2 linked regions of the Oryza sativa Japonica Group genome follow. The protein of the gene in region 2 interacts with the protein of the main gene of each other region in a pairwise test. Links are inferred from orthologs where the notes say so. Each region holds a gene or a part of one and is shown on either strand. Other genes may lie near its edges.

Evidence for each region.
Region 1: the proteins of two-component response regulator-like PRR1 (region 2) and adagio-like protein 3 interact in a two-hybrid assay, tested with the Arabidopsis thaliana proteins (2 studies listed by BioGRID). The link is inferred for Oryza sativa Japonica Group from reciprocal best matches to the Arabidopsis thaliana genes TOC1 and FKF1.

The regions. Positions count from the first base shown.
Region 1 is NC_089045.1:22,116,930-22,121,461, forward strand, and holds the start of adagio-like protein 3, read right to left. Parts: upstream 3,036-4,532; 5' UTR 2,943-3,035; coding exon 2,638-2,942; intron 37-2,637; coding exon of another isoform or gene 36-36; exon of another isoform or gene 1-35. UniProt on the Arabidopsis thaliana protein: Component of an E3 ubiquitin ligase complex that plays a central role in blue light-dependent circadian cycles.
Region 2 is NC_089036.1:25,050,543-25,055,115, reverse strand, and holds two-component response regulator-like PRR1, read right to left. Parts: upstream 3,099-4,573; 5' UTR 2,473-3,098; coding exon 2,313-2,472; intron 2,182-2,312; coding exon 2,020-2,181; intron 1,936-2,019; coding exon 1,802-1,935; intron 1,678-1,801; coding exon 1,510-1,677; intron 1,305-1,509; coding exon 1,223-1,304; intron 1,124-1,222; coding exon 273-1,123; 3' UTR 1-272. Other genes in the region: glutaredoxin-C4, chloroplastic, read right to left, coding at 4,380-4,459. UniProt on the Arabidopsis thaliana protein: Controls photoperiodic flowering response. Component of the circadian clock. Expression of several members of the ARR-like family is controlled by circadian rhythm.

The sequences.
Region 1 (4,532 bases), on a different chromosome or scaffold from region 2:
GTCAACAGAGTAATGTGAGAAGCTTCTCTAGGCCCTCTGTCAAGTTATGTCACTGTTAGCTTGATGCAAATATGATACAGTTGAACAACTCGTATAAATGAAAAATGATAGTAGAATAACAGCAATTCAAGCATAGAGAACATGCATTTGTCTATTAGCTTTGTCGCAGACAACGAAGAAGAATGTGGCTTTTTGTTTGGTTTCAAATGTATTCTGTTAACCTAGTGCTAATTGCTAACATTGCTAAACATTAGGCAGAAACTAGTCCAGCTATTTTTTTTATGCTTTGTTGGACTTTAGTCGAAATGCAAAAAAAAAAAAAAAACCCTACATTGAATACTTAATTATGTTAGCCAATGCCTAGAGCTTATGCTGATTGCTGAATGTCCAAACTACTCCCTCCATCCCAAAATGTTTGACGCCGTTGACTTTTTTAAAAATGTTTGACCGTTCGTCTTATTCAAAAAATTTAAGTAATTATTAATTCTTTTCCTATCATTTGATTTATTGTTAAATATACTTTTATGTATACATATAGTTTTACACATTTCACAAAAGTTTTTGAATAAGACGAACGGTCAAACATGTTTAAAAAAGTCAACCGTGTCAAACATTTAGGGAAGGAGGGAGTACTTATGATGGAACACAGGTTTAACTAAACTCATCCAATGAATCTTTTGGAAATAAAATTAATATGTTTGGAATTGTTTGTGATGGCATGATATGTCAAAATGTAATATAAGAGACAAGTTCTTGCATCATGTAAGCAATTCAATAAATTGTTTTTCAAGAATTTTCATAATCTGACAAAAGAGAGGCTAATTGTGCAGACTGCACACAAGAATATTTACCATTCGACGTGGACGATTAGAGCAAATCACCACAAAATGGTAAAACGACATTTACGGAATGAGTCCCTAAAAGACTTTCCCCTTCTTTCCCAACTCACATCTCTCGTTTTCTGCGCGCACGCTTTTCAAACTGCTAAACGGTGTGTTCTTTGCAAAATTTTCCTATAGGAAAGTTGCTTTAAAAAAAATCATATTAATCCATTTTTTAATTTTTTTTAGGCTAGTACTTAACTAATCTCGCTCTAATCGCTTACATTGTTTTCCGTGTCAGGAGGTAAACCTTGCCTCCTGAAGACAGCCTTAAGCAGTACAGCACGAAAATCAAGTTCAAACATTTACAACCCAAGTCAAATTTCTCAAAGTTTATCTTCATATTACATCCAGAACTTCCATTTATGCTCAAAATTGAGTTCCGAATTCTGAAACTGACCATAATCAGCTACTTGTCAACTGAAAACCCTTGCAGGTGTAGTACTGTAGTACACTTATAAGGTTGTCACCAATAATAGCTTTCCATATTGTTAATACGGATCAAATTTCACAGTTGGTGTCCAAATTCAATGTTAATTTGTCATGTGAATACATTCATAGTTAATTATTTTCCAGTACCATCCAAGAGAGGAGGAAAAAGTCTTACTAATCCAGTATAATATATCCTCCTAGAGCACTAGCAGGCGACCACTAAATATGATATATGCCAATGGAAGACTAAAGTTACTAAGTATTAATTGGTAGCCCGGTGGTAAAAAATAAAAAGGCCTGGCTAAAACCGTGATGCTCCCTGTTGTAAATTTTTGTACCCACATGCTACAGACAACTGTGCTATATTCCAATTAATGGCCTACCCATCTCATTTTATATTCACAATATATGCTACAGTTTATTCTTCCATCATCCCTTTTTCTATGTGCAAGTGGCTACTTTAGTAGAGCAAGAGAAGAGAAGATATATCAGGGGAAAATATCTAACGGGTAGCCATCACCCTTGCTTGCCCAGCCTCTTCCCACCAGAAAACAAAAATGACCCAGAGCCAGAAAGAATATATGAACATTTCGTTGTTCGCCTCTAAGGTCCAATGCAAATATGCGATATAGAACTTCCATACACAAAATTTGTTTCAAAAGCCATTTCATAAATTTAGCAATAACATGAATATATCCAAACTAGATCGCGTAAGCACCTTTCAGGCTTTTACTGTACTTGAACAACATTATCTACAATTTACTTCGATTGTTGGCTTGCTCGTGCTGTGCTTAATGTGTAGATTAAAAATCAACAATGTCACCATTACTCAGAGATTGGCTCTAAAATACAGATGGTCTAACAGAAACAGTACACTTCAAATTCTGGCTAAATCTCATACTGGCATGATACCCATCTATAAATTTCAAAAAAAAAAAAAACAACCAATCAAAAGTGAGGATAAAATGCTAAAATTTACAGCAACTAGTCAGGAATCACGCATCATCGCCGCAATTGCAAGCATTAAGGCAGAGACAGAGTGGTGCGCACTCTGCACCGTACGCCTGTACAGGAACCCCCTAATTCTAACAAATGCGCATTAAAATCTCAAGGTTTGACTGCACGGCAAAAGCTCATTAAATTCAACAACACAGCCATCCACAACCACCATCAATCTCGCCAACATATCGAGCTGGAATCGAATCGAGAGCACCAAAAAAAAAAAACAAGCAGCATTTCGCCATCCCCATCCAACCACACCAGATCAGAGCAGAGCGGCATCGATCGGGGAACAGCTAAGAGCAGGGCGCGCACGAGGGCTCACCAGTTGCGGCCGAGGACCTCGTCGGCGCGGTACCCCGTGGCGGCCTCGAAGGCGGCGTTGACGTAGATGACCGGGAAATCCACCTCCACCGCGTCCGACACCACGATCGCCGCCGCCCTCCCCTCCCACGCCGCCGCCTCATCCTCCCCCGCTAGCCCCCCCGGCGGCCTCCACACCCACCCCACCTCCTCCTCCTCCTCATCCACCTCCATCCCCTCCTCCTCCTCCTCCTCCTCCTCGCACAGCTTCATCCTCTTCACCGCCACCACCCCGCCGCCTCCGCCGCGATCCCCCGCATCAAACATCTCTCCTCTCTCCTCTCTCTCTAGAACTTTCTCTCTCCTCGATGTGCTTCGAAATGGCGGAGGCAGAGCTGAGCTGAGCTGGGATGAGACGGTGGGGGAGATATTTTCGCGGCGGGGTTTATATCCGCGCGGGGTGGGTGGGGGAGAAGGGGCAGGGAGTTGGGGGTTAATTACGTGATCTGCCACCAAAATATCTCGCGGGGGGTGGTGGTGGGGGTGGGGCCCGCGCGGGCGGCAAAAGGACGGCGCACGGATGGGGGCCACTTGGGGGGGAGGGGGAAGCATCCAACGGCGCACCTTGTTTTGCTTTTTCCACTCGTGAGAGAGGTGGAGACGTGGAGTGGAAGGGAGAGTATCTTCAGATTGTCAGCTTCACTAGCGTAATTATTTTTTTTGTTCTTTCCCTCTCCACCTCTCTCTTTTTTTTATAGGAAAAGACCAGATATTAGGGGTGTAAAAATCTAAGAGCAAGTTTAGGCTCTGATCGGAAGCGAGGGTTGGGAACGAAGCAGCGTTTTAGTGCGTGATTAATTAAGTTTTAGCTATTTTTTTAAAAAAATAGATTAATATGATTTTTAAGCAACTTTTGTATAAAAACTTTCTACAAAAAAATACACCGTTTAGCAGTTTGAAAAGCGTGCGGGTGGAAAACGAGGAGGAGTTGGGAACTTATACTACCGAACGGAGCCTAAAAGTAGAGCAAACCACTATCTATAAATTAATCTAAGAGTTAACATATATATAATATATTAGGCTCCCATCGGATGGCCTAATTAGTCAAGAAAAAGTCAAAATTTAAATTTTTAAATTTAATTTTGAGATATTTTCAATGTAGTTTCTTTTTCAGCATTGGCTTTTAAGTCAGAAAAAACATATATATAAAAATTTTGTCTACAGATTTATTTTTATTCTCTAATAAACTGTTTTGGCTTATTAGTGGAAAAGCCAAACGATGACGGGACCGTTAGTTACCAGGTTGTATCTTATGTTCTTCTCCTCTCTATATGTAATTAATTTATTTGTTTACGAGAATGTGTATAGTTATCTCTTGCATAAGAGCTGGGACTCATCGTTTCCCTTGTTCTCTCTCCTTTACATAAGTATATAGTTGGTTTATAGTCTACTATTGAACTTGCTCTAGAGGGATTAGTGAAAATTTGGTTTCTTCTTGTACTAGAGTACTGCATAGAGCATTTAATTACCCCTCAAAAAAATAGTAGAATCTAATAATTGCGTACGCTAAATAAAAGACTTAGGGTTTGTTTGGGAAGCTCGAAATTCTGGGAAGCAATTTCGAAGCAAATGGTGGATAACTAATAGTTAGAATTAAAAAATAGATTTATTAGCTTATGATTTAATATCTACAAATTTTTAGAATCTAAGTGAAAATTTGAACGGTTTAAGCCAAAGATTCCAGAAGTAGCTAGCGGTTATATGCCACTTGATTGAATCTCAATTATGTTTTTTACACATGCAGAGAAAATGTGATAAAAGAAGTATTCTCATTGACGTTTATTGGACACGACTAATTCAGCATCGAAAATACAACACAATACCTAAATATTAAGTTTATAACATGCACACTTATTT
Region 2 (4,573 bases):
GAAACAAGATGGTTACGATCTAGACTGGCCTATGCATCACTAACTAGCATAATTACATCTCACCTTCAAAGATGATTTTCTCCAAAACGTCCATAGTAACAGTGATGGATATGCCACAAGTTCCTTGGGGGACAAAAAGGATGTATTGTGTGTGAGCGAGTGGATGTATTGCCTAGTTAAAAGCAGAAGAAATGTATTGCCTACATCTAATGAGTTGCAAAGTGAGCAGTAATCATCTGCACTCTATTTTACATATAGGAAAACCTTTCAAACTACTCTGGAGAAGAAACCATCTCTACCTCCCTGGAGGATGGATCATCATCTTCATCTTCTGAGATATCATCTCCAGTGCTGGTTATATCTGTATAGTTTGCCTGTCTAACAAATTGCCCTCGCACCCTCGGCCTTGTTTCAGCAAGTTTCTTCCTATTCACGTACCTCACCTTCTTGTCAAAACAACGTTCCTTCCTTTTCAGCCTGAATTTGGCAAGTGCTGCAGCTCTCCGTTCAGACCGACTACATGTTTCCTCGGGCATTGGTGTGCTTGATGCCTGTGGCCACATATTTTGTGTTGGCAGTTGATTTGATTGAATGCTCATACCAGCAGGATTATACTGAAATGGTGGCATCATAGATACACCATGACATTGGGGATAAACATTATACTGAGGGAGCAACGTTTGTGGTGTATGCACTTGAGCGTTGTTTATGTTCCCTTGGAAATTTTGCACCGGAGGATGTGTCATACCGTGGTCCATCATCCCTGGGTAATAAAAGGGAAAATGATATACAGGAGGAGTTCCTGAAGCATCATTTTGGCCTTCATTGCTTCGCTCCAGATGCAAGTTAGAGGAAGAAAAGCATACCACAGGGTATTGCACTGGCATCTCAAAGGCTTCTTTATCCCGAATATTTACATCAGTGCCAGTGTCACTTCTGTCAGTTGTACTAGAGAAATTACCCCTGTGATCCGAAGAGTCTAACCGATTTCCACCTTTTTGTAGTTCGCTGTCAAATGAGCTGGTAGTTGGGGTGCTTGACTTAACATAAGCTAGAAAAGCAGAAGACTCAGCAACCCTCAAGTTAGTCTTTATTGGACGTGAAAACATTACTCCGGGAGATGCTGGCATAAAAGCAAAGGCATAAACCTTAGAAACTATTCTTCAATTGGGGGATCTGCTAAATCAGCTAAAGGAAATGGTTTAAGGCTCAAGATACTTACAAGCTTGGTCGCCGCCTTCAGTAGAGACTAGTAAACCCTCTGGTGTGCCTTTTTGTTTAGGCTCAGCATCAGAAGGATTAGACTGCAAACATATCAAGAAATGCAAGGGCATTTAACAAGTAGACTGATGCAAAAAATTCAGCATCTTATCATCATCAATTGAACATATGAGGCAAAAAGGCATGCTCTAGCATCTAAACAGAACACAAAGGTAGAAAGATACTAAATAGAGAAGTAGTATGTTGGACAGCAAAATATAAAAGGATAACTAGTACTTGATTGGTTACCTCATATTCATGTTGATTCGAGGTGCTTGTTTCTTGATTAATGTTTTCTTTTGGCTTATCATCTGTGTCATCCGAGAGAAGAGTGGTGCTGTTGGTATTGGCGTCACTAGGTTCCGATAACGCCAACTCGAAATTGTCATTGAAGAAGTTTTTCTCCGACAAACCAAGCTGCCAACACCAACATTCAACTTAAGATCAACTCATACACGCTACAGCAACGCCACAGCCATCTCAGCTTAGAGCATGCTTTTCAACACAGAATTTGAAGATGAATCAACATAGTCCCCTTTACCATCCGCCTTCGCCGCCACACATGGGTCCAGAGGTTCAGCAGCTCGTTCATGCGCAGTGGCTTGACCAGGTACTCGGCTGCCCCGAGACGCAAGCACTTGACAACAACAGAGACCTCGTCTCTGTTGGACATCACTGCATAATTCGCATCAAAGATGAGGATGGTCACTACAACAACCCTACGAGCATGGGCATCAGAGGAATAGGAGGACAGCTTACTTATGATGGGGATGTGGCGCAATTCCTTGTTCCTGGCGATGTATTTGAGCATCTTGAAGCACTTGGAGACGGGCAGATCGACCTCGGCCAAGATGATGTCGATCTCCCCCGCCTCGCAGTTGAGTACGTTGATCACCTGCCTCGGAGACTTGGCGCAAGTCACTGAAACAAAAACAAAGACGTATCATTCCATGCGAGAAGGTGTGATAGAACTGCTAATTCATCTACTAAAGCAATCTTAATCCTTAATTATAAGAGCAAACCAAATACTAAGCAGACAAAGCTGAACTGACCTTGGTATGAGCAGTTGCAGAGGAGGCGGAGCACCTCCCGTGAGCTACTTGGGTCGCTGTCGCAGAGCAGAATCCTCACCTTGCTCCGGTCCACGAACTGCTGCCCTCCCCCTACCGCCGCCCCGCCGCCAACGCGATCCCCCTCGCCGGCGCCCACCATACCCCGACCCGCACGGATTCCCCCCCTAGCCACTTGTCACCAGCTGCCGACGCGTCCGAATCAGCACGAACAGCACAGCAGCCAGCAGCAGCTGCCGGCGCCTAGACTAGACGACGCAGGAGGACGAAGCGGTTGTTGGATCTGCGGGCGGCGCCTCCTCCTCCATATCCCGTGCCGTCGCCAGTAGTATCGCCCCCAGAGGCTAAGCAGTGTGCTACCGCCGCCACCCGCCGCCGACGCCGGCGGCGTCCTCCTCCGCCGCGCGTTGCGGTCCGGCCCGCACCATTATCCGCGCCTAATCTATTCAGGAGGCGGCGGCGGTGGTGGTGGCGGCGTTGGTGTCCGCTCTACTGGCACAGGATATTTTCCTCCCCCTACCTTTTGCTTTCCTCTCTCGGTGGGGCACGCGGCTCGGCTCGGCTCGGCTCGGCGAGAGATGAAAGAAAGAAGAAAAGGCCTCGTCACGCCGCGCCGGGGCGGTGTAAAAATAAACGAAACGGCTCGTCGCGAGCGGTTTGTGTCGCGTACTCGCGTCGCGCGGTGCGGGTGTGCGTGTGCGTGTGCCGGTGTCAATGGATTCGTCACGGGACGGGACGGGACGAGCCGCGAGCCGCGGCCCCGTGGGTGGGAGGGCCAGGTTGGATGGAGGGGAAGAGCCGGGCGTGGTTAAGCCAGATGGGCCCGGCCTGGCGGCGTGTGATTTCGGTGAGAAAATATCTACGCCTACCTGGCACGGAAATATCTTAATCGCGGATGCGATTAGGGGCGGCGGGCGTGGTGGGGCCGTGGCCGTGCGATACGGGAGCCGCCACGCGCGCGAGCTGGGGGCCAGCGAACGAACGCCAGGGAGACGCGCTACTGTAGTAGTACTGTGGAAACGACGACGCGAGAGGCGGAGGGAGGTGGTGCCGTGGTGGTGCCGTGGGAGTGGGAGCGCCACGCCCACGTACGTGCGGCGGCGTCCACGGTGGCCGCGTCCCCGCCCTCCGTTGCGGATCACGACGAAAGCCGCGCCAGCCCACCGCGGACGTGCCAAGGCGGAGAAAAATCCAGAGGGAAACGCGGCTCTCACGTTTTCACGTAGTACAGACCTTGATGGGCAGCATGGCGATACGGTGGTGGCTGGGCTGATGAGTAAAAGATTTTGAGCTACCGGACGAGACGAGTGGCCGGTAGAGAGCAGCAGCTGGATGGGGGGTGTTTTTTTTTTCCCCGTGTTGGCAACTTGGGATGCCCATTGCCACTACGCCGATCCGGAGAGCGACTGGTCGTGGACTTGTGGTGGCGGCTCGTGGCGCCGGCCTAGCGCTTTTTCTGTAGCTTTGCTTTTCTTGTTTGCCACTGGCGATGTACGTGGTGGCCTCCGGGCTCCGGCAGCAAATCAGCGATGCTGCAAAATGGGTTTAGCGTTAACAGCGCTGTCGTTTGTTTACTGATCTGTTACCAGCGCTGTAATTCAGTAATTCAGCAGAATGGTAAACACAACCAAGATTTTTGATTGCAGCTCTGAACTATGGCCAGGCAAAACAATCATTTTGACGAAGGGTGTTTCCTCCAGTTCACTGGCTGTATTTCTTCCACCGAGAGGAGTGGATGGTTGGTATCAGTGACGACACAACAACATCTCGATCTCAAAAATCTGGAGGCAGGCTGGCAGCCAGTAGCAGGAGCTTGGAGTGCCGATGTCATCAGTCTCATTCACAGGACGCACTAATCATATTTATTGCTACCAATGAAATCATACAAAATGAGTTATTAGCTAGAGTAGTGCTGCATACAGGCTTGAAAGTCACCCAAAGCTACTACTATCAGCAATAAGTTGTTCTGACAGTGGAAGTCCCCATATATATTCGCCTTTATTCTATGACATTGACACACCACAAACACGTTTTGGCAAAGGTATTTATCTACAGGGAAGGAGTGGCGATTGCTCCTGCCTCCGTCAGCAGAGGGACCAAGTTCCCTCCTTTGTGCATCGCCATGGTATCTGTTTGAAAGACATCAATGAAGATCGACGTTAAAATAGTGTAGAAAAACTCTGGCCTAAGTGACCCTTGTTCTAGCGATTTTCTTGTTCAGAAAAAAGTTAAACAGCGATAAA